5 linked regions of the Ovis aries genome follow. The protein of the gene in region 2 purifies or fractionates together with the protein of the main gene of each other region. This does not show direct contact. Links are inferred from orthologs where the notes say so. Each region holds a gene or a part of one and is shown on either strand. Other genes may lie near its edges.

What was found.
Region 1: the proteins of FOXM1 (region 2) and MYBL2 purify together in Homo sapiens (affinity purification with western blotting; 3 studies listed by BioGRID and IntAct, with this or other methods). This does not show direct contact. The link is inferred for Ovis aries from reciprocal best matches to the Homo sapiens genes FOXM1 and MYBL2.
Region 3: the proteins of FOXM1 (region 2) and PLK1 purify together in Homo sapiens (affinity purification with western blotting; 5 studies listed by BioGRID, with this or other methods). This does not show direct contact. The link is inferred for Ovis aries from reciprocal best matches to the Homo sapiens genes FOXM1 and PLK1.
Region 4: the proteins of FOXM1 (region 2) and CREBBP purify together in Homo sapiens (affinity purification with western blotting; 5 studies listed by BioGRID, with this or other methods). This does not show direct contact. The link is inferred for Ovis aries from reciprocal best matches to the Homo sapiens genes FOXM1 and CREBBP.
Region 5: the proteins of FOXM1 (region 2) and OTUB1 purify together in Homo sapiens (affinity purification with western blotting; 4 studies listed by BioGRID, with this or other methods). This does not show direct contact. The link is inferred for Ovis aries from reciprocal best matches to the Homo sapiens genes FOXM1 and OTUB1.

What each region holds. Positions count from the first base shown.
Region 1 is NC_056066.1:72,203,930-72,209,295, forward strand, and holds part of MYBL2 (myb-related protein B), read left to right. Parts: intron 1-2,099; coding exon 2,100-2,171; intron 2,172-2,989; coding exon 2,990-3,082; intron 3,083-3,236; coding exon 3,237-3,457; intron 3,458-5,366. UniProt on the Homo sapiens protein: Transcription factor involved in the regulation of cell survival, proliferation, and differentiation. Transactivates the expression of the CLU gene.
Region 2 is NC_056056.1:212,731,840-212,737,205, forward strand, and holds part of FOXM1 (forkhead box protein M1), read left to right. Parts: intron 1-918; coding exon 919-1,047; intron 1,048-1,794; coding exon 1,795-1,839; intron 1,840-2,381; coding exon 2,382-2,451; intron 2,452-2,596; coding exon 2,597-2,772; intron 2,773-5,366. UniProt on the Homo sapiens protein: Transcription factor regulating the expression of cell cycle genes essential for DNA replication and mitosis. Plays a role in the control of cell proliferation. Also plays a role in DNA break repair, participating in the DNA damage checkpoint response.
Region 3 is NC_056077.1:21,879,897-21,885,792, forward strand, and holds the start of PLK1 (serine/threonine-protein kinase PLK1), read left to right. Parts: upstream 1-1,999; 5' UTR 2,000-2,106; coding exon 2,107-2,508; intron 2,509-3,170; coding exon 3,171-3,339; intron 3,340-4,718; coding exon 4,719-4,863; intron 4,864-5,815; coding exon 5,816-5,896. UniProt on the Homo sapiens protein: Serine/threonine-protein kinase that performs several important functions throughout M phase of the cell cycle, including the regulation of centrosome maturation and spindle assembly, the removal of cohesins from chromosome arms, the inactivation of anaphase-promoting complex/cyclosome (APC/C) inhibitors, and the regulation of mitotic exit and cytokinesis.
Region 4 is NC_056077.1:3,648,334-3,653,699, reverse strand, and holds part of CREBBP (CREB-binding protein), read left to right. Parts: intron 1-602; coding exon 603-727; intron 728-1,312; coding exon 1,313-1,501; intron 1,502-2,944; coding exon 2,945-3,361; intron 3,362-5,125; coding exon 5,126-5,305; intron 5,306-5,366. UniProt on the Homo sapiens protein: Acetylates histones, giving a specific tag for transcriptional activation. Mediates acetylation of histone H3 at 'Lys-18' and 'Lys-27' (H3K18ac and H3K27ac, respectively).
Region 5 is NC_056074.1:38,766,278-38,772,272, forward strand, and holds the start of OTUB1 (ubiquitin thioesterase OTUB1), read left to right. Parts: upstream 1-2,160; 5' UTR 2,161-2,181; coding exon 2,182-2,239; intron 2,240-4,406; coding exon 4,407-4,468; intron 4,469-4,715; coding exon 4,716-4,814; intron 4,815-5,995. UniProt on the Homo sapiens protein: Hydrolase that can specifically remove 'Lys-48'-linked conjugated ubiquitin from proteins and plays an important regulatory role at the level of protein turnover by preventing degradation.

The sequences.
Region 1 (5,366 bases), on a different chromosome or scaffold from region 2:
CTGCGTTGTTCAGACAGAAGATGGCTGTGGCGGGATGAGGGCAGTTCAGGTAAGAGTCGACAGGTGGAGGGGCCCATGGGGCCCAGGAGGAATTGGAGAGTGGGGAGTTGTCCACCCCCGTTGTCAGGGAGGATGGTGGTGCTGGAGATGGACCCAGGGGACATGGGCAGAAGGCAAGGGTTGGCCTGACCAGGTGGGATGGGCAGCAAGGGAGGGTATGGTGTCTGGAGCTGACTGTGTGGACGTGGGCTGGCCCCACAGCAGGATTTATGGGGACTTTGTCCAGCTGGTGCTGGGCTGTGGCCAAGCTGCAGTTGAGGGTCTGGATGTCTGTGGTGGCCTTTTTTTTCCTCCTGCCCGGGAGAGAGAGTGTGTGAAAAAACACCGAATGTTAAACCACTGTAACTGTTCTCAAGTGTCTGTTGAGGACATGAAGCGTATTCTCACTGTGCAGCAGATCTTTGGAACTGTCATCTTGCAAAGAAAGCTGAATCATCAAACACTAATTTTCCCCATCCCCTCCCCCTAGCCCTTGGCAACCACCTTGTTTTACTTTCTGTTTTTGATTTCTTTTTTTATTTGGCTGCCCTCGTCTTCGTTGTAGCACATGGGATCATTTTTTCGGTGCCACATGCAGGATCATTAGTTGCAGCATTTGGAATCTAGTTTCCTGATCAGGGATTGAACCCAGGCCCCCTGCACTGGGAGCACAGTCTTAGCCACTGGATCACCAGAGAAGTCCCTGGTTTTTATTTTTGACTACTTTAGATTCTTCATATGAGTGGACTTAGGCTGTCTCTGTCCTTTTGTGTCTGGCTTATTTTGCTTAGCATAATGTCCTCAAGGTTCATCCAGGTTGTAGCTTGTAACAGAATTTCCTTGTTTTGAGGCGGAATAATATTCCACTGTATGGATAATACTACATTTTCTTTATATGTATAAATTAAAAAAAATAAGTTTGGGGGATTCCCTGGCCATCTAGTGGTTAGGACCCCAAGCTTTCACTGTGAGGACCTCAGTTCAATCCCTGATGGGGGAACTGAGAACCTACGAGTTGCAGGGGGTAAAAACAGTCAGTTTGCTCTAGGAATATTTTACACACAAACAGCTACAACTGTTGAAGTACAATCCAGTGAGTTTCAGTGGATGTGCTGCCGTGAAACTCACAGCAACACCACCTTGCTGGGTGTTCCCATCACCCCAGGCATCTCTTGCTCCCTGCTGTTCATTTCTTCCACCCACCAACCAACCCTGACCATGGACACCACTGACTATCTTTTTGTCCCTATAGCTTTGTTTACCTTTTCTAGAAGTTCCTCTGCACAGAATTAAGCAATGTGTACTCTTCTTATGTCTGACTTCTTTTTCTCATCCTAATGATACTGTGATTTTAATGTTGTTGCATGAATCAATAGTTTATATTCAGGAGAACGAGTTTATGTTCAGGAGAGTGTTCTAACAGATATGTTTTTCCATTCCAAGTGCCCACGTTTCCCTGTCTCCAGGGCTGGGTCACTGTCGTCTCTGGCCTGGATGCCTGTAATGGCCTCCTATCCTCCATTCTGCCCTCCTGCAGCCCTTTCTCCTGCAGCTGCCAAAGTGAAGTTCACAACAAGCACGTTGGACTGTGACCACCTGTCAGTGGTGATGCTTCAGTGCATCTGTGGCCTTGCGTGACGCAGAGGCCTGAGTCAACCCTGCGTGTGCTCTGATCCCCGCCGCCCCCGCCCCCACCCCCAAATCCTCTTGCCTCCCTGTCTCCTGCTTCCTGCAGCCTAGCCTCACTAGAGTTCCTTGGAGCCTGTCCCTTGGGTCCCCCATAGGCCTCATTGTCCATCTCTCCATCCCTGCAGCACAGAGTGGCCCTCCTTTTGTTTGCAGGAGCCTTTGATTAGCGTCTGCTTCCCGCTAGACTTTAAGTCCCCAAAGTTGAGCAGCTCTGATGCTGGCGTGCCTGGTGCACAGTTAGATGATCACTTCATCACGTGAATGGATGAATGAGGCTGTTCTCTTTGTTGGAGGGAGGGTGGGTCTCAGTCCAGAGCAGCCGCTTTCTGCACGCGTGTGAACTGAGCCCTCTGTCTTCCTGGCTTTGGCAGGACGAGCAGCTGAAGGCCCTGGTGAAGCAGTTTGGACAGCAAGACTGGAAGTTCCTGGCCAGCCACTTTCCCGTGAGTGCAGCCCCTCTGCCGCCCTCTCCCCCGGATAGGGAGCCTGGGAGAGACTTGGTGTCAGGGAGAAGAAAGGAGAATTCCTTACCAGGCGCCCCCGAGCTCTCCCAACAAAACAACCTTCCAGCCTCCTGAGGCCCTTTCTACCCAAACTGGAATCGGGGCACCCTGATGTAAGCGTCCCCACGTGGCAGCCTCTGGGTGCCTGGGGGCCTTAGGCTCCATGATCATGCGTCGTATCAGTGGCATATTTGCATTTCTTCCTGCAAGTCACTGACGAGTGGCTGCTCGGTTTCTCAACCGTGAAACTGAACCTGAGAGGAAATGATGCTTGAGCAGGCTTCATGGTGAGGCCCCCGCAGAGCTGACCCGAGCCACCATGTCCAGCATCTAGAGCCTCCTGGTGATGTGGCTCCCCCTAGGATCCCCCACCCCCAGCTCTGCAGGTGGCCGACAGGGAGGGGATGTGGCAGGAGCTGCTGTTGGCTTTCCTGGCTCATCAGGCAGCTCGGGGACCAGGTCACCAGACCCTTTGGCCCCATTCCTCACTCCCTGTCCTCTACAGGGTCTGAAACCTTCAGGGAAATAGCCCCTTTCAGAAGCAAGCGAGAATCCCTGATGTAGCCTGCAGGCTGGCACAGGGCAGTTGTGGGCAGTGGCTCTGCACAGGGTTCTGAGTTTGCCTGCTTCCATCCAGGCCCACTTGTAGCAAAGGGAACCACAGTGTCCTGGACCGTGGGTGTGTAGTGTGTGGGGGTTCTGGGAACGAGGTAGGGCCACAGGCCAGGAGTTCTCAAGGATGCCTGTCCTTTTCCCAGAACCGCACTGACCAGCAGTGCCAGTATCGGTGGCTGAGGGTCTTGAATCCAGACCTCGTCAAAGGGCCATGGACCAAAGAGGAGGACCAGAAGGTAACGCCTGGGCCTGAGCCTGCTACACCGTGGCATTCACGCACCCCGGGGGAGGGGGTCAGGAGACTGAGGATGACATCCCACTGGTGGGTGCTAGGGTGGGAAACAGGGGGTGGGGGGGGTCCCGCTGGCCTCACAGCGTCTTTCCCCCAAGGTCATCGAGCTGGTCAAGAAGTATGGCACGAAGCAGTGGACGCTGATTGCCAAGCACCTGAAGGGCCGGCTGGGCAAGCAGTGCCGTGAGCGCTGGCACAACCACCTCAACCCCGAGGTGAAGAAGTCCTGCTGGACGGAGGAGGAGGACCGCATCATCTGCGAGGCCCACAAGGTGCTGGGCAACCGCTGGGCCGAGATCGCCAAGATGCTGCCGGGGAGGTGAGCCGCCCGCTGGGGCCGGTCAGGGCATCCCCTGGCCTTTGTGGGGATGTTCAAGGCCTAGTCCGATTTCTCTGGTGGTGTTTACTCTTCCCAGAAGAAGAGGCCTTCAGATTCTTGCCTCGGGCGGTGCAGGGACCTGGCTGCTGGGAGACTGGAGCGGGGTGGGGCGGGCCTGGGGGCCTCCTGTTCACGGTGCAGGTTCTCATCTGGGCCCACTTGGCTTCGTGCCCTGGCCATGGTTGCACGCGTTCTAAGTCACTGAAGTCATGTCCTGACTATTTACGAGCCCGTGGACTGTAGCCCACCACACTTCTCTGTCCATGGAATTCTCTAGGCAAGAGTACTGGAGTGGGTTGCCGTGCCCTCCTCCAGGGGATCTTCCCAACCCAGGGATCAAACCCGTGTCTCTTGGATCCTCCTGCACTGGCAGGCAAGTTCCTCACCACTGTGACACCTAAGAAGCCACGTGGCTTGGGTTGCCTGGTCTTTTTTTTTTTTTTTTTTTTTTTAATAAAAGAGAGTAAGTCTCATTCCTCCTGGTCTGGACGTCCAAAGCACTGCTCTGTTTTCACTCTACTCCTCACTGGGCCTGGCCGCTCCAAGCACTGGGTCTCTCGAGGTTCTGCAAGGAGAACTGGAACAACTTGGGACTTGGGCTGCAGTCTTGCCAGATCGTCCAGGGTCCACCCCAGTCTCCCGAGTTGCTTCACACAGTTGCTTCTGGAAACTGTAAAAATCTCTTATTCACCACTACCATCTACCCTGCTCTCTTGTCTGTGTACTTGTGTGTGTGTGCATGTGTGTGTGTGTGTGTGTGTGTGTCTGTGTGTGTATGTCTGTGTGCGTGCGTTGACCACCCCGTATAGCACACAAGATCGTCGTCGTTCCCTGAGCAGGGATTAAACCCATGCGCCCTTCCTCAGGAATGCTGCATCCTAATCACTGGCCCTGTCCATGGGCATTTCTACTTTGCTTTATTTCTAATCTTTTCTTTACGATGGCATTGTGGTGCCAGGGTAAATGGCATGGAGGGAAAGGAGATAGAATACCAGATGGCCTGTTTTCCCTGGAGTCTGAAATACCTGTTTCCAAACTCAGACCTAAGTGTGTTAATACTTTTGGTGCTTCCACTAACCCTTGGATGGAGACTCTTCCCTGTGTGGCCAGCCTGACCTCGCTGATGCCACAGCCTCACCTTGATCCGCAGTCACCCTCGCTTGCCTATCGGGCTTTGCACTATGCTCTCCTCCCGCCCACAGACATGGAGCCTGGACGCCCCCTGCCTGGTGCCCACTGTGTAGCCAGCTCGCTCTCACCGTTTGGTTTTTGGTGGGGAATGTTTCCTCGGGGAAGGTTGGTCTGTCCTTCCCGCCTGTGGTGAGTCCCTGGCCACCTCCGCGTAGTGCCCAGACCCTCCTCTGAGACTGGTGGCCTATTCAAGCTGTTATTCTGGTGGAAAAGCACTCAGCCCAGAGCCCCAAAGAAGGCACTGTCCCTGTGTGTCCACAGTTGTGCACTGCTGCGACCCGTGTGCGCTGGGGCCGCTCACACCGACGCCGACGCGTGCTTCCGCGGCCCGTGCTTCCCTGAGCCTTGTCCCACTCTCCTCTGCTGCTCTGTCCTGCTCTGCTGCGCACCCATCGGCCTCTCTCCGTCCACACTTCCTGCGCTCCTGTACCACTGTGCTACCCTCCCTGCCTTTACGTGTCACTACTCTGACTTAAGTGACAAGTGATGGAGGAGGAAGTGATCTAATTTTCCAGATGAAAAAGCCAAGGCTCAGAGTAGTCAGCAGGAGACCCTGTGTTTTCTTGCTCTGCCCTCTCTGGTCATTTTCTATCTATGGGAGGTGATCAGGGCTCATGTTTGAGATCCCCGAGCCTCAGGACATGGGCCAGCAGCCAGC
Region 2 (5,366 bases):
TCCCCTCCCTCTTGAGCCTCCCCTGCACCCCAGCGCAGCCCTCTCCGCCATCGCAGAGCAGCGAGCTGAGCCCCCTGTGCTATTCAGCAGCTTCCCTCTAGCCATCTGTCTTGCGCGTGGAGGCACATGTATTTCAGTGCTGCTCCCCCAGTTCACCCCACCCTCCCCTTCCCCACCATTTCCGCCAGTCTGCTCTCTGCGTCTCTGTCTCTATTCCTGCCCTCCAGCTAGGTTCATCTGTACCATTTTTCTAGAGTCCATATATATATGTTAATAGATGATATTTCTTTTTCTGACTCACTTCACTCTATAACAGGCTCTAGGTTCATCCATGTGTCTGCAACTGACTCAAATGTGTTCCTTTTTGTGGCCGAGTAATATTCTTCTGTATATATATGTACTATAACTTCTTTATCCATTCATCTGTCAGTGGACATCTAGGTCACAGCAGAACTCTCAGCCTCACACTCTCACCTCAACTAAATTCCCCAGCTTCCTGATTTCTTTTTTATTTTTTTGCTGCACCTTGTGACTTGCAGGATCTCAGTCCCCCGACCAGGGTTTGAACCCAGGCCCCAGCAGTGAGAGCACTGCGTCCTAACTGCTGGTACAACAGGGAACTCCCCAGCATTGTAATTTCTACCCCCACCTCTCTGGCTACCGGTTTTTGCCACAGCCTCACTCATCTTTCCCAGCCCCCAACAGCTGTTTAGGTCTCTGCTTTATTACCACCTCAGCAACAGCCCCAGTCTCTGTCCCCATGGGACAGCTGGGTTGGTAGCCCAGGTCACCTGGCCTGCCAAGCGGACAGTCCCAAGAGCAGCCAGCAGCCAAGGTTATGAGACACGAAGCCAGGGGCCAGCGGAGGTGGCGCTCGCAGAGCCAGAGTAGCTGATGAGCTGTGTCCTCCACTTTCAGAACTCCATCCGCCACAACCTCTCTCTACATGACATGTTCGTCCGCGAGACGTCTGCCAACGGCAAGGTCTCCTTCTGGACCATTCACCCCAGTGCCAATCGCTACCTGACACTGGACCAGGTGTTTAAGGTAAGCATACTGGTTTTGTCCAAATAGAGCCAGTGCTGGAGGTCATGATGTCCATCCATCTCAAAAGAAAACAAGTCCTTGGTGGGGAGGGGGGAGGCAGGCAGCCAACCTTCGGATAGGAATCCATCCTTCCACCCCCTCTGCCCTACCCCACCCCCAGCTGCCGGCATCCTAAATAAAGCAAACTTTCCTCTCCACCAAAAATAAGAAAGAAGCAAGTCCTCCTTGGGATGAGCTTGTCTGCTAAGGGCAGAGTTAAGGGCCAACCAGCCCATAAGGAACAGCACCTTCTCTGCTAGACCAGGCCCCAGAGAGGACTTCCTGTTCCAGAAAGGGGACCTCCTGGGGCAGGATGGCCCCTACTGCCCTGTGATAAGAACTACCTAGGATACTTCTTAAAGTACAGCCTCCCAAGCCCCTCTTGGGGCTTCTGATTCAGTAGGCCTGGGATGGGCCCAGGAGTATATTTTTAGCAAGAATCTCAGGTGATTCTTGGGTTTTTAAAAAGCCGATTTTTACAGTGGAGAGTAGAAACGGAGCCTACAGAATCTCTCGTCAGAAGCGATCACTTTGGGTCTTCAGAGTGCCCACAAGGCTGCCACTAGCCGCCTCCACTCTCCCGGGAGAGCCCATAGTTGAGGGTGGCCCTGGGCGTCCATCCGGAGTAGGTGTATCCATCTGGTCAGCTTGACTGCACTGGTGGTAACTTGGTCTCATTTCTCTCCCACAATGCCCATCCACCACCAGCCACTGGACCCAGGGTCTGCACACTCGCCCGAGCACTCGGAATCAGTAAGGTTCTTTCCCTCCCGCTCGGGGCTCGGCCTTGTTTCCCCTCCACGCTCAGCATGGCTTCGGTGACGGGGACAAGGTGTTAGCCGGAGACGGGAGCCTGTGGCCGTGTGCCTGCCAGCCCTGGACGCAGAGCCTTGCTTCTGGGCGTCAGGACACTGGTGACTGCCACCGCCTCCCACTCCCGTGGACTCATCAAGGTGGCCTGAGCAGAGCACGTGTGGCAGGGGGACCTGCCACAGGCTCACTGCAGGATGCTGATGAGGTGCACGGCACAGGCCCAGCGGGCGGCCGTTGCTCTCTCTTCTCTACCTGGCTTTTCTTTGCCCTCCTAGAGCTCCATGCTTTGCACCCTGGGGGTGAGGACACCTGGATGAGGTGGGAGGATCGCCCGCCGCCCTGTGCCTCTGTTGCCAACTTCCGGGACCAGGCGGTTGGTCCACTCCATGCCCGGTCCCAGAGCAGCTGCTGGTGGGGTCCCCTACCCCGTCCCCCTACCCTCCTGACCCAGGTCTGTCTCTCTCCCTCTCTGTCCCAAACAGCAGCAGAAACGGCCCAACCCTGATCTCCGCCGGAACGTGGCCATCAAAACCGAACTCCCCCTGGGTGCACGTTAGTATAGGGGGAGGCGTGGTCCCTGGCACACCCATAGTGGGGGCAGATGCGGGAGTCAGAGCCCAGGGAAGGAGAGCAAAGAACCCAGGGCTGGGAGGGGACCCGGCCCTGGACCTGCTCCTGACCGATCCTGTTCCCCCAGGGCGGAAGATGAAGCCACTACTGCCGCGGGTCAGCTCGTACCTGGTGCCCATCCAGTTCCCTGCAAACCCGTCGCTGGTGCTGCAGCCCTCGGTCAAGGTGCCCTTGCCCCTGGCAGCCTCGCTCATGAGCTCAGAGCTTGCTCGCCACAGCAAGCGAGTCCGCATCGCCCCCAAGGTCAGTGCCTCAGGTCTTCTCCGAGGAGAGACTCCAGTCCGTGACGGGCTCTGCTTCATGTCTGTTGAGAAGCTCGTAAATTTAGTGGGTAGACCAGGCATCGATACATAGGAAAATGCAAGTGTTATAAGAGCCAAAAAGGAACTTGTTAGGGACTTCCCTGGTGGTCCAGTGGTTAAGACTCCACACTCCCAGTGCAGAGGGCATGGGTTTGATCCCTGATCAAAAAACTAAGATCCTGCATGACACTCAGCATAGCCTTAAAAAAAAAAAAAAAAAACCCTAGTAAACTGTCCTTAAAAAAAAAATTCCCAATAAAAAGGAACTTTACAATGTAAGTGGTATTGGAAGGCCCACATGTGCCTGATGAGTTTGTGAGAATTGAGATGGGGGTGATTGTTATAGCAGATGGGCTGGGAGGTTCAGGAAGAGTTCACTAGGGAAGCAGGCTTAAGAAGTAGGTTGGGGCAGCAAACAGTGTGGAGAGGGCCTTGTAAAGGGCATGGCCTGGGGCACGCCCAGTCACAACCATAGAGTGGCTGGACAGTCTAGCCCTGGGTTTCTCGACCTCCAAACAGCTGACATTCACGGCTTCCCAGGTGGCGCTAGTGGTAAAGTACCGGCCTGCCAACTCAGGAGATGTAAGACACTCGAGTTCGATCCCTGGGTGGGAAGATCCCCTACAGAAGGAAATGGCAACCCACTTCAGTGTTCCTGCCTGGAAAATCCCATGGATAGAGGAGCCTGGTGGGCTACAGTCCATGGGGTGGTAAAGAGTCAGAGGCGACTGAGCATGCACAGTGCTTTGTGGGGGCGGGGTGCCACCCTGTGCCCTGAGGGATGCTTAGCAACCGCATCCATGGTCTCTTTGCCGGATGCCAGGAGCACCGCCTGGTGTGACAGTTAGGACATCTTCTGGTGTTGCTGGGAGTCCCCTGGGGAGAGCTGCTGCTGGCTGAGCCTCAGCGGTCGAGCTGGAAGGCTGGAGAGGGCAAATTACAACCCCACCATGACATAGAGAAGAGTCTGTGAGCAGGACCGGGCCTGTAACAGATTAAGGAAGGGCCCTTCTGCCCCTTTCTCAGAGATAGAAGTAGCTGCAACTTCAGATAGAGAGACTTGGGTTTGCTTTTGTTTTTTAATTTAAAAATATCACTTTAATATACATAAAAGTATATATACCGGCATAGATAGTTTTCCTTAAATGCCTTCATGTGATTGTAGCGTGGGTAATGTTTCTGTTTCAGTGCAGTCTTGCAGTTTTTTCCTCCTTCATTTTGCCTCTCCTCACCTTCCCCATGTCCCCCTGCTCCCCGTGATAAGCCATGTTGACAGTTTAGCGTGCCTTCTCCCATGATTCCTTCATGCTCTTAGTATGCTCTGCGCACATGGATCACCGTAACCATGTTACACATGCACACACACCACCCAGAGCCTTGTCGTATTGCCCTTTCTGCCCCATGGAAATTCTTCCAATCACTTGTCATCACTCTAATTCACAATTTTATTTAAGATTTTTTTTTTTTACGTGGACCTTTTTTTTTACGTCTTTATTGTATTCGTTACAGTATTGCTTCTGTTTTATGTTTTGGTTTTTTGGACTCCAGGGATGTGGGATCTTAGCTTGCCAACCAGGGGTCGAACCCAGGTCCCCTGCATCGGAAGGCGGATTCTTAACCACTGGATCACCAGGGAAGCTCCTTATTCGCTATTTTTCAATGGCACATAATAGCCCATGATGTGGCTGTGCCATAAATTTTCTAACCATTCTGCTTTCATGGGCACATTTTTTTCAGGCTTTTTTGCCCTATGACCAACATTGTAATAAATACCTTTGCAAGTATCTTTCCTTGCTGGTGCTTTCATTTCTGTGGGTAGAGAACAAGACATGAGATTGCTGAGGGGGCAAGTGTTTTAAAGTTTATTAAATACTGCAAGATTGATTTTAAGAAAAATCTGTGATAACTCACATACATACCAACAAGCCCTGTTTGCCAGCAATTGGTATCATCGCCCTTTTACAGTGCTTGCCCATGTCCAGTGTGTGAAGGATACTTGCTTGTTTCATTTCATCTTCTTCTCCTTATGCGTAAGTCAGCAGCTGCTCACCATGTTCGGTCACTTGGAATCGTTCACTGTGAGATGCTTATTTACACTCATGGCCTGTCTTCTTACAGGGTTTTGTTAAAAAGTTTATAACTTGTCTTTTCAGATATTTTTTACTCCTCTTGCTTGCTTCTTAACTTTATGATCTCTCTTGCTGCAGTAAGATTTCTATTTTTATATAGTCAAATATGTCTCTCTTCTCTTTTACAGCTTCTGGGGTTCCAGTCTTGGTTTAGAAGGTTTACCCTGCTGCTGACCCTCAGATTATAGACGTACTCTCCTAGATTTCCTTTCAGGATTTGAATGGTTTTAGTTTTTCTGATTAAGTCCTTGTATGAAACAGACATCCACTTTTATTTTCTCTTGGATGGGTGCTAATTACACCAGCGCCATAGAAGATGCTCTTTTTACCCCCAGAATTAAACTACCCCCTTCATCACACAGTCTTATATTTAATAGTCTTCAAGACTTTGAAGACAAGAGGATCG
Region 3 (5,896 bases), on a different chromosome or scaffold from region 2:
GGGGCGGGGAGAGCATTTATGATCTTCATTTCTCAGAAATATTCTGGAAACTTTCCCCTTTTCCTGAAGGAAAGCTCCCAGTGCCGTCAGCTGGAAGATTGACCCTCAGCTGGCATCTGGGTTCTTGAATTTCAGGAGAGTTCTCACCATTCCCTAAATGACAGGAGTTGCTTACTGAATTTAAACTGTGTAAACTGTGGTTTATGCTGCATGCCTGCTTTCCTTCCAGGAGTGTAGAATTTTGGTGTGTTACAGGCAGAGGGTGCCTGTGTGACCAAACCCCAGAAAAGCCCTGGGCTGGAGTCTCTGATGAGCTTCTCTGGTAGATAACATTTCACACGTGTTGTCACACTCATTGCTGGAGGAGTTGTGTCCTGTGTGACTGACTCCACTGGGAGAAGACTCTGGGAAGCTTGTGCCTGGTTTCCTCTGGATTTTGCTCTATGCACCTTTCCCTTGGCTGATTTTGCTTCATAACCTTTCACTGTAATAAATCCTAGTCATCTGTGAGTAGAACTATATGCTGAGTCCTGTAGGGGGATGGTCTTGGGCCCCCCCCCCCCCGCCCCAGGGCACAAGGAGGACTTACGGGGTGGTTGGTCGTGTACTCTTTCTCAGTCTGGGTGCTGCTTACATGAGGTGTACTCATTTTGTGAAAATTCACTGAGCTGTCCAATTAACAGATGTATACTTTTTCGGTACATAGATTCAACTTTATAAAAAGATAAAACAATATTGTACACCACAGGGATTAAAAAATAATAATTTTTAAAAACAACTCCCTTTTATTTATAAAGCATTTTAGTCACTCCTTTTTGCCAAGCATTGTGCTGAGAGCTTGGGACATGGGGTAGGAAAGATGTCTTCATTGCCTCTGAGTTTATTGGGAGTTATGTAAAGAGATAACTGATATGACTTTTGCTGACTCCTAGCAAAGACATCATAGGATGCTGGGCTTACAACTTGAGTGATTCTCAGGGTTGCCACTTAAGTATCTATGGAAGCCAGACAGGCAAAGGGGCAAAGGAGGGTTATCAGGGAACTCTGACAAACTGGGAAGGTATGTTAAGTAAGCATAGAGTTGCAACAGCTAATAGTTTTTTCAAAGTTGCATTTTTATGTGAGCTGTCTTGATTTTTCACTCCTGTATATGAATCCAAATTTTAAAAAGTGAAAGACCAAACAAAACACCTCTGCAGCCAAATTTGACCTTGGCTTACCAGTTTGCCAGGCATTCTGCCAACCTGTCATCTTTCCCTCTTACAAAACACTTGAGGGTCCACTATTTTAGGCACTGGGAAATAGAGCAGTGAGCCAGCCAGACAATTTTCTTGCAGAATGACCCTGGCGGGGGTGGTGGGGTTCTGGTACTGTACTTCTCAAACTTCAATATGTGTGGGAATCACTGGGTAGATTCTGAATTGGGGGGGTCTGCGTTGAGGCCTGAAGCTTTGGCTTTCTAACAAGCTCCCAGGTGTTGGTGATGTTGGTGGCCCCTGCTGTTATTTGAAGAAGAGTAGGGGGTTTGTCTGGAAGATGCGTTTGCCTGGCAAGCATTCTCTTTAGACTTCGATTTTAGTTTATGGGGTGATTTGGAAGAGAGCTGGTGACTTCCGGGGCGGATGTTAGGGCTCCCCCATGCTGTCTCTCATTCTAGGTCTCTATTCTCAGAGTTTATAATCTAGAAGGCGAGGTGGGGATGGAGGAAGGTGCTGGGAAAAGCTTCCTGGAGGAGGTCCTCGCGGACTGCAGGAGCTTCCCCTGCCGTCGAGAAAGGAGAAACCCTGAACGCACCCTCTTCTGGGGCGGGGTCTCAGCAGCCCCACACCAGCTTTGGTTTCCCAGGCATCCCACGTGTCTTCCGTCCGCCATCCCTGCCAATCAAGCTCCTCCCAGGGCCTGGGTGAGAGTTTAAAGGCGGCTGCAGTGCCGAGCGCTCCCAGAGTGCCGCGCGGCGGGCGGGTTTGGATTTTAAATCCCCGCGGCCAATCAGTAGCGCGTAGGCTCTTGTAACGTTCCCGGCGCCGCGTTTGAATTCGAGGAGAGGCAGAGCCGTGCCAAGCCTCTGCCTAGACCCTGCTAGGTCCGCTGAGCAACTCCGGGAACATGAGTGCGGCGGCAACTGCAGGGAAGCTGGGGCGGGCACCAGCCGACCCAGGGAAAGCGCCCGGAGTTGCAGCTCCCGGGGCTCCGACGGCCGCCCCGCCGGCGAAAGAGATTCCGGAGGTCCTAGTGGACCCTCGCAGCCGGCGGCGCTATCTACGGGGTCGCTTTTTGGGGAAGGGTGGCTTTGCCAAGTGCTTTGAGATCTCGGATGCGGACACTAAGGAGGTGTTCGCGGGCAAGATCGTGCCTAAGTCGCTGTTGCTCAAACCGCACCAAAAGGAGAAGATGTCCATGGAGATATCCATTCACCGCAGCCTCGCTCACCAGCACGTCGTAGGCTTCCACGGCTTTTTCGAAGACAACGACTTCGTGTTCGTGGTGTTGGAGCTCTGCCGCCGGAGGGTGAGTGTCGCTGCTGGGGAACTGGAACTGCCCTGGCGTCAGGGGTTGGGGCACTGGGAACCGGAGCTGCTGGGGAAGGGGCGCCCCGGGGCTCAGAGCTGCTAGGGAAGAGGTGCTGGGAACCTGGAACTGGAAATGGAGAAAGTCTTGGGGAGAGGGAAGGTTCTCGGCACTTGGGGCCTCTAGGGAAGGCGGCTTCTGAACGCTAGGAGTTGGGCGGATTGGGGGAGGTGCGGGAGAACCTTGCTTATGGACGCCAGGGCTTTGGAGTTGCTAGGTAAGGGATATTGCGGACCCTCACTTTCCCGAGTAGGGTTGGGTCAGGCAGAGGGTAGTTGGAGCCAGACTTCGGAGCTTCCGGGGGAGGGGAGGGGCAGGAAAGGGACCTGTTGCTGCCAAGAGTTCCGGGACCGGGATACTGGGGTCTCTGAGCTTCCGGAGGGGTCTGAGAGAGGGGTCCCAGGTAAGGGTTTTGGGAGGGAGCCAGTGGGAGAGGGTTGCTATGAACTGTTGCGGCCTGGTTTTGGGGGGGGGGGGAGTCTGGATCGCAGTTGTCCTGAAGAAATGGTTAGTAGCGTCCTGGCTGCCTTTACCTAATGACACTCCCTCCCTGCCTTGGGTCTGAGCACCGGCTCCCATTTCTCCTTCCCTCCTGCTCCCAGTCTCTCCTGGAGCTGCACAAGCGGAGGAAAGCTCTCACGGAGCCCGAGGCCCGCTACTACCTGCGGCAGATCGTCCTGGGCTGCCAGTACCTGCACGGAAACCGCGTTATTCACAGAGACCTCAAGCTGGGCAATCTCTTCCTGAACGAGGATCTGGAGGTGAAAATAGGTAAGGAGCTGGGACTGCAAGGGCATTTGACATGCAGTGGGAATGAGGAGGAGCTGGGAGGGAGGGTGAGGGAGAGGAAATTTGGAAAGAGACAAGGGAGAGAGGAAGAGGATGGTAGGAAGTCTGGGCTGTTGATTGGCTGTAGAATCCTCTCTTAGGACAGGAACTTAAAGAGCTACAAACCAGTGTCTTGTCTGCAGATGTGCTTTGAGGGGGGCAGTGTGTTCTATACAGTTTGTTTTTTTTTTTTAAGAATTTGGATTTGTTTTCACTTTTTAAAAATATTTTTTCAATTTACTTATTTCGGCTGCACTGGGTCTCCGCTGCTGCATGCCTTTCTCTGGTGCGGTGAGTGGGGGCTACTCTGCGTCGCATGTGCGGATTTCTCATTGCAGTGGCTTCTCCTTGTGGAGCGCAGGCTTCAGCAGTTGTGGCTCCAGCGCTCTAGAGCACAGGTTCAGTAGTTGTGGCACATGGGCTTAGGTGCTCTGTGGCACATGGGATCCTCACCGACCAGGAATGGAACCTGTTTCTCCAGCATTGGCAGGTGAATTCTTTACCACTGAGCCATCACGGAAGCCGCTCCTCATTTTCACTTTTTTAAACTGAGAGCCTTGATGTAAAACTTTGAATTTGGAGCTCCTTTTAAACACTCGAGAGCTCCAGCAGTACAGGGGTAGCGTTCCCTCAAGACAGCTCTTTGCTGTACTGAACAGCAGCTGTTCCCTTTAGATGCCCTATGGTTTGCCACATTCCCCACCCCTCCGTATCACTTCCTCACAAACTTGCCAAGTAGCCATCTTGACATTTACTTGCTTAATCCCTGAAGGTGTTTGAGTTTTGCTATCCCTGTCAGTCGGAGAAGGCAATGGCACCCCACTCCAGTACTCTTGCCTGGAAAATCCCGTGGATGGAGGAGCCTGGTAGGCTGCAGTCCATGGATCACGAAGAGTCGGACACGACTGAGCGACTTCACTTTCACTTTCATGTGTTGGAGAAGGAAATGGCAACCCACTGCAGTATTCTTGCCTGGAGAATCCCAGGGACGGAGGAGCCTAGTGGGCTGCTGTCTGTGGGGTCACATGGAGTCAGACATGACTGAAGCGACTTAGCAGATCCCTGTCAGTTCCCTTTTAGAAGTAAACCCCTCCTTTCTAAGGGGAGGGGTGATGAGAGTCTTTGGGAGGCCCTTCCCTAGGGCCAGCATGGTGGGAGGATTCCTGGGTAACAGGAATCTAGTCCTTGCTGTACACAAGGACTAGAGGCTTTGAGAGATCACTTGACCCTGGTTCTTGATGGTTACCAGCTGAACCAGCTGTCTGCATTGACAGACGACAGAAGCTGGCATCTGAGCCTCCCTCTTCCTCCCTCTGTCCCAGGGGATTTTGGACTGGCAACCAAAGTGGAGTATGACGGGGAACGGAAGAAGACCCTGTGCGGGACTCCTAATTACATAGCTCCTGAGGTGCTGAGCAAGAAAGGGCACAGTTTCGAGGTGGACGTATGGTCCATTGGGTGCATCATGTAAGTTGGGAGTTGTCTCAGGACCCACCAGTCTCAGCAAGGGGCTTTCTGGACATCTCACTTGGCAGGCTTTATCCTGCAGACCTTTCCGCCTTTGGAAAGACTGTTCCAGAGGACAGATGGTCTCTGAAGGAACCCTCATTGCTGAATTGGTATATCCTGTAGGATTCCTGCAGCCTGGGCTGTGGGTTCAGGGAATGAGGGAGGGAATGTCTCCACAAACTTGCTCTAATCCCTTGCTATTCAAAGTACGGCAGACCAGCTGCAGCATCACGTAGGAACTTGTTACGCAGAATCTCAAGACCCAGACTAACTGGATCACAATCTGTATTAAGACCCTTGAGTGATTTCTATGCACAATAAAGTATTAGAACCACTGATCTAAAAAGCAGCATTGGGTGGGAAGAATTAGGCCAGGAGTGGTGCTGGCAGGAGGAGGTCCTGTGGTCTGTCTGGGTCAAGGCCATCAGAGGTGGGTGGTGGGCAGAGAGTTGGGCCTGTTCAGGTGTTACCCCTTTTGTTGTTTCCCTGGATACTGGAGAGTTAGAAATGGCTTTCCTACTTCTTTGCCTTGGAATTTCCCACATGAAAACTTGCAGCCTAAAGTACAGAACTATTAACTGTGGGGCTGCCTCAAGGAAAGTGACCCCTGCTTGGACCTGTTCCATGTTAGCTGGCAGCCTCTGGCCCCTAGATTACCGCAGGCTATAGCTAAAAAGTCACTGGTCCATTAGAACCCAGTTTCATCACCTGTATTCTACTGAGGGTACCTCCCTGCCAGTGTCGTGGCTCCTGGGGCTGCTTAGTGAACTTGTGAATTGTCCTCTGGGGCCCCAGAGTCACAGTGAATGCCCAAAAGATGTCTGACTTCCTTTCTGGCCCTGAGAGGATTCCTCCCTGCATCTGGGTTTTGGTTGGGAGCCTTGAGCCAAATCCCTCCTTGTGCTTACAGGTATACCTTGTTAGTGGGCAAGCCACCTTTTGAGACCTCTTGCCTAAAAGAGACCTACCTCCGGATCAAGAACAATGAATA
Region 4 (5,366 bases), on a different chromosome or scaffold from region 2:
GAGGCTGAAGCTGAGAACCGCCAGCCCTTGGGCACTTTCTAAATGCTTAATGTCCTTGCAAAATTAAAGCCAAGTTTTGAGTCTTATCCCAGATTCTAACAATAAATGTAAGCCCAGCCAAAGAGCTGGAGGGCCTGGGGTGATGGGAGCGGGCTTCCTGCCGGGAGTCAGGTGGTCCAGAAGGCTCTGAGGGGTTGGCTCAGAGGGTGCCCTGGCCTCAGCAGGCCTCCTCCATGCGTGGTGGGTGCTCCTTCCCACCGCCCCACCCACCCATCTGCCCCGTCACTCGGACCCTGGGATGCTCTGGCGCCGAGTGCTGCCTTGGCTTCAGCTGCTCGCAGCTTCCCTGACGCGCCACCTTCCTCTCCTCACGCTGCCCTGCCTGCTCCCCACCCACCGCCTCCCCACCCCATGGTGGTGCCGTTGTTCCTGGATCTGAGCAGTCTGTTGCTCAGCCATCTTTTCTGATTGACTGGTCTCCTTTCAGTTGTGTATGTAGTGTGTGTGTTCCATCTTATTTGGCTTCAAGTTTCTCTAGCAAATCGTCATTCTGTTTTCCTGTGGGTGCTTTTCCTAATGAACTGTTGTGGGTACGTTTACAGGGATGAATTCATTTAACCCAATATCCTTGGGGAACGTACAGTTGCCACAAGCGCCCATGGGACCGCGTGCGGCATCCCCCATGAACCACTCTGTCCCGATGAACAGCATGGGCTCTGTTCCAGGGGTAAGTGCTTGTCCTCCGCTCAGCTGTGCTGAGACGGGCTTGCTGCAACAGGACAGTTCTCCCGCGGGAGCTTGGAGGTTGGGAATCCTGTGGCGCTTGTTCCTTTGGATAGTGTTGTGCTTTGGCAACTCCATCTCGCCCTCTGGTCCTTATTACTACAAGCATTATTTGACCGTCACTTATTTTTACTGAAATGAGAGATTCCTTGGCACCTGTGACTTTGTGAGAAGATGGGAGTTCTGGGGATGTGTGACAGAATGAGAGGAAAGGTGTCAGCATCCGCTGGCTCTCAGAGCGTCCTCTCCTGAGGCTGCTTTCTAAACTAGTCCGAGAACTCCTAAAAGGCGTATGTGAACTTTATACTATGGCATGCTGTTGATTTCTGTTCAGAGGACTGTGTGGAGCTGGCTCATTAGAGACCTGCGTGGAAAAGTGTGCAGAATGCCTGGGAGCAGGGAGGTCTTAGTGCATGGGGGGGGTCCCCTCCTGTGACGGGGGGAGTTGCAGATTCCCCTCTCTTTCGATTCACCCTGGAGACACGGGCCCTGCAGCCCTCTAAACGCAGTGGCTCACGCTGTCTTGTAGATGGCCATTTCTCCGTCCCGAATGCCTCAGCCTCCGAACATGATGGGCGCGCACGCCAACAGCATGATGGCCCAGGCGCCTGCGCAGAGCCAGTTCCTCCCGCAGAGCCAGTTCCCGTCGTCCAGCGGGGCGCTGAGTGTGAGCAGCGTGGGCATGGGGCAGCCAGCGGCGCAGGCTGGCGTTCCACAGGTACTGTCCATCGTTGTAGTTGTCATTTTCTTAATTTTTGTTTGTATGTTTTAAATTCTAAGCTTCACATGTGATCCTGAGAGACGCTGGTTTTTGAAGAGGGAGGGAGGAAAAATCCCTTGAGTTCACGCTTAATGGTTCAGCACCTGTTGGTCTAAACTGCCCAGGCGAAGTCCAGCTAACTGGGCCATTTGAGTAGTTCCCTTCTTATTGAGTGTGTTTTCACTCATTCAGTATAACGCTGGCGGGGACTGTTTTCCACTCACCTTACTGCCTTTCCCCGACTTCTATTAACTGGTAGAGTGCATCAGATTGCTGCTGTGTACAAATGTACACATATTTAAAACAGACCAACTGTTCTCCTGAGAGGTCAGATTCATTATTTAACTTAACATGAATAACATTGAATAAGAGGCAGTGACTACACTAGATTCACTAAATAAATACTTATTAGTTAATTGTTTTTTAAAATTTTATTTGTTATTATTTATGTTTGGCTTGCTGAGTCTTCCTTGCTGCGTGTGGGCTTTCTCTAGTTGCAGTGAGCGGAAGTTACTGTTGGCGCAGTGCCCAGGCTTCTCACCGGGGCAGCTTCTCTTGTGGAGCCTGGCCTCTAGGCTTGAGGGTTTCAGTAGTTGTGGCGCGCAGGCCTAGTTGCCCCACGACATGTGGAATCTTCCCCGACCAGGGATAGAACCTGTGCCCTCTGCACTGGCAGTTGGATTCTTAACCACTGGGCCACCAGGGAAGCCTGATGCCTATTAATTAATTCTTAATCTGCATAAATTTTATTTCTCTAGCAAAGAGGTCGACAGGTTCGTCCTGTAGATATTTTCAGCTTGGTGGGCCGTGGGGGAACTGCTCTGCTCCACTGTTGTGACACAGGCAGTCATAGACATGTGCATTCACATGTGAGTGAATGGACAGGCTGCTGGCCAATAAAGCTTTATTGACAGAGACCAGCAGCTAGCTGGGTTTGGCCCTGGGCCCTGTGTGGTTGGCAGATCCCTGCTCTAGATTCAGAGTAGCTTTTTAGTTGGCCCACAGGTAATTCTGAAGCATGTCCCTAGTTGAGAACTACCATATTTAAACATTTCAGTGTTTGAGTAACTCATTTTTTTTATAAAAGACAAATACCTTTTCCAGTGGTCTTAGCTGTTGGTGGATATTATGGAACATGAGCTAGTAACTGGAGTGTATGTGTGTTTGTTTAAGCCAGAGATTTCTACACTTACGTAAATCAAAGTCTGATTACTACAAAAGCAGGTTACTATAAGTGTGCAGGTCAATGACATGTTACAAGCGGAACGTTCCCATGTAGTCAGCAGACCTCATCCGGAAACCGTGTCAGGTTCTCATATATTTAATTCTTTATGTCTGCTGCCACATTGTCAGACGGAGGGGAGAACAGTTTTAACTCTCTCTTTTCCTTCTGCCTGTCAGGGGCAGGTGCCGGGGGCTGCTCTTCCCAACCCCCTGAACATGCTTGGGCCCCAGGCCAGCCAGCTGCCTTGCCCACCAGTGACACAGCCGCCACTGCATCAGACCCCGCCTCCCGCCTCCACAGCCGCTGGCATGCCGTCTTTGCAGCACCCAGCAGCTCCCGGGGTGACACCCCCCCAGCCGGCGGCGCCTACCCAGCCATCAACTCCCGCGTCGTCTTCCGGGCAGACTCCCACCCCGACTCCCGGCTCCGTGCCCAGCGCCAGCCAGACGCAGAGTACTCCTACGGTCCAGGCAGCTGCCCAGGCCCAGGTGACCCCACAGCCTCAGACCCCAGTGCAGCCTCCGTCGGTGGCCACCCCACAGTCATCGCAGCAGCAGCCGACACCCGTGCACACGCAGCCCCCTGGCACCCCGGTGAGCCCCTCGGCCTGCGGCCGTCTGCCCACAGAGTTGCAGATGAGAACTTGCCCCTGAACAATTGGTCGTGAAGCACCACAGGTCTTGGTGCAGCTGCACAGCGTGTGTGTCCGCAACCTGATGGAGCTGTAACAGGCTGTATGTTCATTCCAGAATGGGCTCTGGAGGCCAAGTTTGGCAGGACATGACTTGTGATTATCTTCCCAGTTAAACCAGCTTATAGAAATCAGCAACTGAAAGAGCTCGTACATGGGTCCTCTGTAGAATATTTGAACTATCCACAGCAACGTCACCTGTCACAGGTGGTGATCCCTGAGATTTAGTTGTCTTGAGGGTTTGGTAAACAAGTCAGGTTTTTAATTGTACGTACTTTGACCTTATCCGTCAGCCTTGTTTTCCAGCTGGAAGCTCTTTCTTTTTCATGACAAAATGGCACAGCCAGGTTAGCACTTCTGTGGCTCAGATCTCCCCACTCCTCCGGGGAGGTGGCAGTGGCAGGGTCACAGCACATCCTGTGTCCCAGTCCTGTGCTCTGCTGTGGCAGCCGGCCGGGCCCCCCCACGTGGGGCCATCCCCACCCACCCCAGGGGCCTGAGGCTACTGTTCCTCACCGAGCCATGGTATCTGTTTTCTTACCAGCCTAACTTAAAAACTTCCTTCCCCCTGAAATGCATTAACTTTATTTGTGGGGACTGAGGATATTTATTTATAAAATGTCAAAATTAATCCCAAGATGAGTCCCAAGATGACACTTTTTATTTTTCCATAGGGAGTGTTCTTCTTGTTTCTTATTTTATATTATCTCTGAATAAGATCCCTTTATAATGTTATGTTTTGTTTGTTTACTTAAAACTCTTATCAGGTAAATCTTTGAAAACTTGAGAGTTTTTTTTGGAGATTTCATCTCTTAATATTTGTTTACTCCTCTACCACTGTTCCTGCAGTTAACAGGCTAGTTATACACTCTTGTTCCAAGTGAAGTGAAGTCGCTCAGTCATGTCCGACTCTTTGCGACTGCATGGACTGTAGCCTACCAGGCGCCTCCGTCCATGGGATTTTCCAGGCAAGAACACTGGAGTGGGTTGCTATTTCCTTCTCCAGGAGATCTTCCCAGCCCAGGGACTAAACCTGGAGCTTCCCTTGTGGCTCAGCTGGTAAAGAATCCGCCTGCAATGCGGGAGACCTGGGTTTGATCCCTGGGTTGGGAAGATCCCCTGGAGACAGAAAGGCTACCTACTCCAGTATTCTGGCCTGCAGAATTCCATGGATTGTATAGTCCATGGGGTCTCAGAGTCGGACACGACTGAGCAACTTTCACTTCACTTCACTCCCACATTGTAGATAGACGCTTTACCGTCTGGGAAATCCATATAGGTACCTTATTCCCCTTCTGACAGTGTATATACACATATTTATTATTCATCCTTTTAACAAAACCATTAGTATCATTGTTGGAAAGAACTGAATTTAAAATAGGTTCTCTGACTTATGTAGAAAATTCCCAGAAGATAATTTTCTGTCATAGTGTAGAAAGCTTCTGCTCTCGCATCTCTGCATTGTTGGCAAGAAGTCAGTTGTGTCTCTGCCTGATGACTTCTCTGGAACTCTTCCTTTAACTCTTGCATCCTTCAATTCTCTCAAATAGGGGTGCCTATTAGGTTAGTATTGAGAAAGATTAACATGGATCTTTGTTGGGTGAGCAACAGGGTTTAAGATCATCTGTGTTGTTTACAAAGATAAGTGATTTTGGTTTCCCCACAGCTTTCCCAGACAGCAGCCAGCATTGATAACAGGGTCCCCACTCCATCCTCAGTGGCCAGCGCCGAAACCAACTCCCAGCAGCCAGGCCCCGAGGTGCCACTGCTGGAGATGAAGGCTGAGATCAAGACTGAGGACACAGAGCCCGATGCTGGGGAGCCCAAGGGAGAGCCCGGGGCTGCGGTAGGTGCCTTTCCTGGACATGGGTGGATGTGCTGCACACGGAGGCGCCAACACGTGTCGT
Region 5 (5,995 bases), on a different chromosome or scaffold from region 2:
AAGAGAATAGTTAGTTATCACCAAATTGACATGGAAAAGAGCAGGGCAAAAGTTGACCATCCTGACACTGGATTAAGAGCCAAAGCTTCCCCCGGCCTGACAAGAGGGGGAGGGTGGGCAGCAGGCGGGAGAGCCCCTCAGCTACACACCCTGCATCCACTGAGGGTGGAGATCCGTTCTTTCAGCCCCAGACCCTTGTGTTGAGGGAGGCATTTACTTGGCGTTGGCAGCATGGCCGCAGTCCAGCACTGGACCACAGACGGATTCCTTCTCGCCCTCCAGAGCAACTGTATTCTCTGTCCCCACACCAATCCCGATCCAGCTCCCCTTTGCGTGCTCCCCACCCGCCAGACTCCCTAGTCAAAGTAAGGAGGTAAAGGTGGAGTTGTCTTACAGCTATTCTCAGGATTTTGTAAAGCCAAAATAGAAATCACGCTTTTGTCACCGACTGCTCCTCGTTTGGTAATACCAGTGCTACTGACTGAGGGCTTCCCAGGTTGCTCAGCAGCAAAGAGTCCACCTGCCAAGGAAGAAGATGCAGGAGACCCGCGTTTGATCCCTGAGCCGGGAAGATCCCCTGGAGGAGAAAATGGCAACCCACTCCGGTATCCTAGCCTGAAGAATCCCATGGACAGAGGAGCCCAGCGAGATACAGTCCACAGGGTTGTAAAGTCGGCCACGCCTGAACACGGCATGCACAAGCTACTAACTGAAGCTCCAACTGGCAGTTCCAGGTTGCACTGGCAAAACTGGGAAAAGGAATGAACAGCGTGTGTACTCTGGGTGTGTGTTGCGCTAAGTGGCTTTAGTCATGCCTGACTCTGTGACTCTGGGCGATAGACAGCCTGCCAGGCTTCTCTTTCCCACTAGTGTCGCCCGAGAAGCCCAGTGTGGTAGGAGTGGGATCCAAATGGGTAGCCCCTTTGCTTCCTTGAATTTCGAAGCAAACACAAGGATTGGTGGTGACCTAGGAAATAGTAATTTGCCATGTTGCTGGGGCAAAGACTTGGCATGTGTAGCGTTGCTGTGAGAGCGCCACTGTGGGCAGTGTGGTGAGCCCAGGCACCAACCGTCCCTACTCCAGAACTGGATGTAGCTCATGAAGATATTCATCCTATTCTGCACCTGTATTATCATGAACGGAGGGATCTGATTGGGGCTCAGACACGGCCTCCTCAAGTGCTAAGAGACCACTGTCATATCATGGAAAAGGCCCTCCATAGAGAAAGGCAAAGGAACAGTACCCCTGAAGGTGACTTCTCTAAATAACTGCATCTTCAGCATCCAAGGCCTTGACACTTTTTAAGTTTTATTTTTAGATAATTCACAGGTGATTTTAACAGAGTACACAGAAAGATCCTGGGTATCCTTTACCCACTTTCCCCCACTGGTAACATCTTGCGTTTGAAGCTACAGTACAGCATATTCCAGGATCTCCATATATATTCAAGATAAAGAGCACTTCTGTCTCCACAAGGATACTTCTGTTTCATTTTTATAACCACATCCACTTCCCTCCTTACTCCGACTCAACCCTTGGGAACCACGAATCTGTTTTTCATTGTTGTCAACTTCTATCTTAAAAAAAAAAAAAATCCTGATTTTCTCATAACCACAAGGGCAGGTAGTCCAAAGTAAGGTCGACCCCGAGGGACGTGGTCTCTCGGTCAGAAGCAGGACACCAAAGCCCGCTCGGAACCGAGACTCGGTGGAGGGGGGCGGTGAATTCCCAGAGCTCGGATATTAGCAGAATTCCCGGTCTCCTCGGCCAAGTGATCCTCATTGCATTCGCCTGTCTTGAGTTCTGGAGCCCGCAGCGGGAATTGCCTTCCGTGATTTGAATTTCATTTTCCTGCTTATCTCAATAATACAATCCGCGTTTCAAACTCTAGTGAAAAGAAAACTCAAGTGGCCCCAGGAAGCTCTTATCACCACCTGGCACATTGGGAGCCTGGAAAGATGGAACCGAGCAAGTGTGCGGGAGGAGGGCGGGCGGGGATTGCCCTCACTTCCCCGGCTTCCGCCGCCGCCGAACGAGACTGCGAGCCCCTCGGGTGACTACGCCCGAGGGGATCCCGTTGCTAGGGGCGTTACCAAGGAGGGGCCTCGAGGAGGGGCTGTCTTCCGGGGGGAGGCCGACTAGTAACCCGGAAGCGGTCGGCAGTGCGGCGCTGTTTAAAGATGGCGGCGGAGGAACCTCAGCAGCAGAAGCAGGAGCCGCTTGGCAGCGACTCCGAAGGTACCGACCAGGGGAGAGCCGCCCGGCCTGGGCTAGCGGGGGCGATGCCGGATGGCCGGTTCCCGAGGAAACCAGGGCTGGGGCGGCTGGCGGCGAAGCGAGCGGAGGGCCCCTTCCCCCGCGTCCGCCGCCTCCCCTCCCCCTCACAATGGAAGGAGCCGCCGCCGCGACCCCTGGCCGGCCGGGCGGCGGGAGAGAAAGCGGGCCGGCCTCCGGCCCGCGACTCTTCCCTGTCGCGCGCTCCTGGGGCGGGGCCTAGGCCGCTCCGCCCCTCCACCCCCCGCCCAGCCCCCTCCCCGCTGGGCGTCCGGCTCCCGGGTCCCGGCTCTCCCGCCCCGGACCTGGCAGTCAGGCCCGGGCCTAGTCCGGCCCCGTCTAGTCCGCCTCCTCCAGAGCGGCCCGAGCCCGGGAGGGCGTCGAATTACGCCGGGCTGCGGAGCACAAAGGACTGGGCGGGCCGCTGGGGATGCTGCGGGCCGCCCGGGGTTGTGAGCGGCCGTAGGTGTGTGCCCAGGAGGGCAGCGCCCTTCGTTTCCGGTAGAGTCCCCTCTCCTAGCCTCGCAGCCCCTTGCTTCCTGTCTCGGCATAGTTTCCTTAGACCCCTGAAGAGTTGGACCTCTCAAAACGGTCCCACCCTCTTCTTTTCACCCCTGAGTTAGACACTGGGGACTGAGGAGGTCACTAGGGTTGGGAGGGATGGCCCAGTTGCAGTGCAGTGTCGGGGGTGGGTGGAAGCCCAGCTGAGGCCCCGGCCTGCTCAAGATCAAAAGGATTGGCCTTAAAAGTCATTTAGCACACAGCTCCCTCTCTAACCGCACACTGAAAAACAGCTTTTGGGGACCTAGACCCTCCCCCCAATCCCCGAAGGGACTGGTTTAGGATCGTGTAAGTTAAGAAAGAACCAGAGCCAGGATTCAGGTCTCCTGGCTCCTCACCAGTGGCTGCTTGGCATGGGGCCCACAGGGTGGACCCGCCCAACTCAGTGATGAGTATTGAACTACACCTCTTAAGGTACCATCTCCTCAGGGCATCACAGTGAAGGGAGGAAGGTGGTGCTATCTGTCTCTATTCACAGCTGATGATGAGCCTCTGCAGTGAGGTGCCAGGGGAGTTATTGTGGCAAAGAGCCCAGGCTTTGCAATTAGACAAACCTGGGATTGACCACAGGTCTTCCTCGTCGCGACTTCGGGCAGGTGATTTCACCTGTCTGCGTTTTTGTTCTTTGTAAAATGGGCACCACTACGAATACCCAGGATGGCAGGTGGAGGAATGGTGTGACTGAGGAAAGCAAAGCGCTCATCTAGCCGAAGATGGTCTGCTTCCTCATCTGTCTTTCCTCAATAGACCTGGCTCAGGGGCCTTCCGGGCTGCTCGGAAGTGATGTTAGAGAGCAGGGGGAGAGGGCTTGTTCGAGCTGGAAGAGTGTACCCTGGGGGGCGATCACCTTGGCCTGCTTACTTTATTTTCCACCATTTATTTATACTTATTTGGCTGTGCCAGGTCTCAGTTATGGCATGTGGGATCTAGTTCCCAGACCAAGGATCAAACTCAGTGTAAGATCGGACCCCGGGGGGCCATGATGGGCCGCCCCTTCCCTCCCCCGTCGGCGGGGGAAGTCCCTAAGGAAGGGGCCTCCCAGATCCCGGGGACCAGTGACAGCACAGTTTGCCAGCTAAAGCTGCCCCACCTCCGCCACGTAGAAGGACGTATCAGCCCGTGACGCCTCGGCCCGGCAACCTATCCAAACCCCCATCCACTAACCTGGCCATCCCTCGCAGCGTGCATATATAAACAAACTTCTAACACGTTCTGGGCGGGTCCGGGAACCCCGCCCGGGAGCGCTTCGCCATTAAAGCCTGTTAGACACTCTTTTGGTGTCCTGGTCGTCTTTTACCTAACACCCAGGCCCCCTTGCATTGGGAGCTCGGAGCCTTAGCCACTGGACCTCCAGGGAAGTCCCTGGCCTCCTCCCTTTAAAGATGAGATAACTCATGCCCAGGAAATGGAAGGACTTTGCCAAGATCCCACAGTTGGGGTGGAGCAGGGCATGATGCATGCTTCCAGATTGCACGTCTGCTCTCCTGGCCCGTTCTTGTCCTCGGCCCAGCTTCCTGGAGTGGGGAGAGCCAGGGCCCACTGTAATACTTGGCCTTCTTCCTTTTTCCAGGTGTTAACTGTCTTGCTTATGATGAAGCCATCATGGCTCAGCAGGACCGAATTCAGCAAGAGGTGAGTGGCTGTGGCCAGTGGCCTTACTTTGGGGATACATTGGTTGGACTGAGGCCTACCGTTTGTCTTTACTGTGGAAGCTCCCTCCTCCCCAGGCTGAGCTGATACTAGATGCCTTTATGGGGAGAATGTGAGGTCCATGTGCCGCTGGGTGACTGGCCCAGCCACTCTCAGCTAGATGTTCGGGCTGACAGGTGTGGGTCACTCCATTTGCCTGTCAGAGTGTAATGGATTCCCCATCCCACAGATTGCTGTGCAGAACCCACTGGTCTCGGAGCGGCTGGAGCTCTCTGTCCTATACAAAGAATATGCTGAGGATGACAACATCTATCAACAGAAGATCAAGGTGGGAGCCTGGCCAGGGGACAGGAAGAGCCCTCGGGTGGGGGCAGGAGCCTGGCCACTTGATACCTGCGCTTGGCTGGGCCTGGCCTCAGAGGGGTGGACGGTTGGGGAGCCCTCTGGTCACTGGTTCACAGGTTGGCAGAGTCTGGAACCAAAAAGACTTTGATTCAGATCCTGACGCTGCCATGTGGCAGCTGTATCCTCAGCAGCTCCTTCGATGTCTCAGAGGTGTGGAGACCTCAGCTGTGAAATCGGGGTGATGAAAGCAAGGGTGCTTGTGAGGTTGCGGGAGACGATGCCTCGGGCCTGCTGCTGGCTGTGGGGAGCTGGTGGTCTCAGTGTTCATGGTGGGGCTGGTGGGCGGGGGCTGGCTAGTGGGGGAGGGTGCCAGCGGAGACACAGTCTTGCCCCCTGCTTCCGTGGAGAGGCAGGCAGCACTGGGGAGAGGGGCCCCTGGATCTTCATGTAAGGCCCTGCTGCCTCTCTTAGAAACTGAGGTAAGTCCCTTAACCACTCACTCCCTTCTCTCTGAGCTGGGGGTTTGCAGTGTGACTGTGTGTGTACACGGCGTCTCCTGGGCACAGCCCACCGCTGCTGCTGCTGAGTTACTGCAGTCGTGTCTGACTCTTTGCGACCCCATAGATGGCAGCCCACCAGGCTCCACCGTCCCTGGGATTCTCTAGGCAAGAACACTGGAGTTGGTTGCCATTTCCTTCTCCAGTGCATGAAAGTGAAAAGTGAAAGAGAAGTCGCTCAGTGGTGCCTGACTCTTAGCGACCCCATGGACCGCAGCCTATCAGGTTCCTCCTTCCATGGGATTTTCCAGGCAAGAGTACTGGATTAAGGTGCCAGTGCCTTCTCTGGGGCACAGCCTGAGGGTTTAGTAAATGCTACTCCTCCCCGCTCGCCCCCAAAATCAGAGCTGCTTAGAATCTTCCACCTGCAAGATTGGCCTTTGGGGTTAGCCATTTGAGGGGCGAGGCAGGTAACCCAGGTGACTGGAGGTGGCCAGGTCAGGTGGTGAACAGTGGCACTGCAGCCCGGCTCCGCCAGTAGCAGGTGGTGGAGCCTCATGGGGCGAATAGGAGCATCCGTGCCTGTCACTCCATCAGTGCTTCCGAGACCAGCCAGAAATCATTTTGTTGTAAAATCTCCAGACTCTTGAGAGTTGGCAGCTGATTG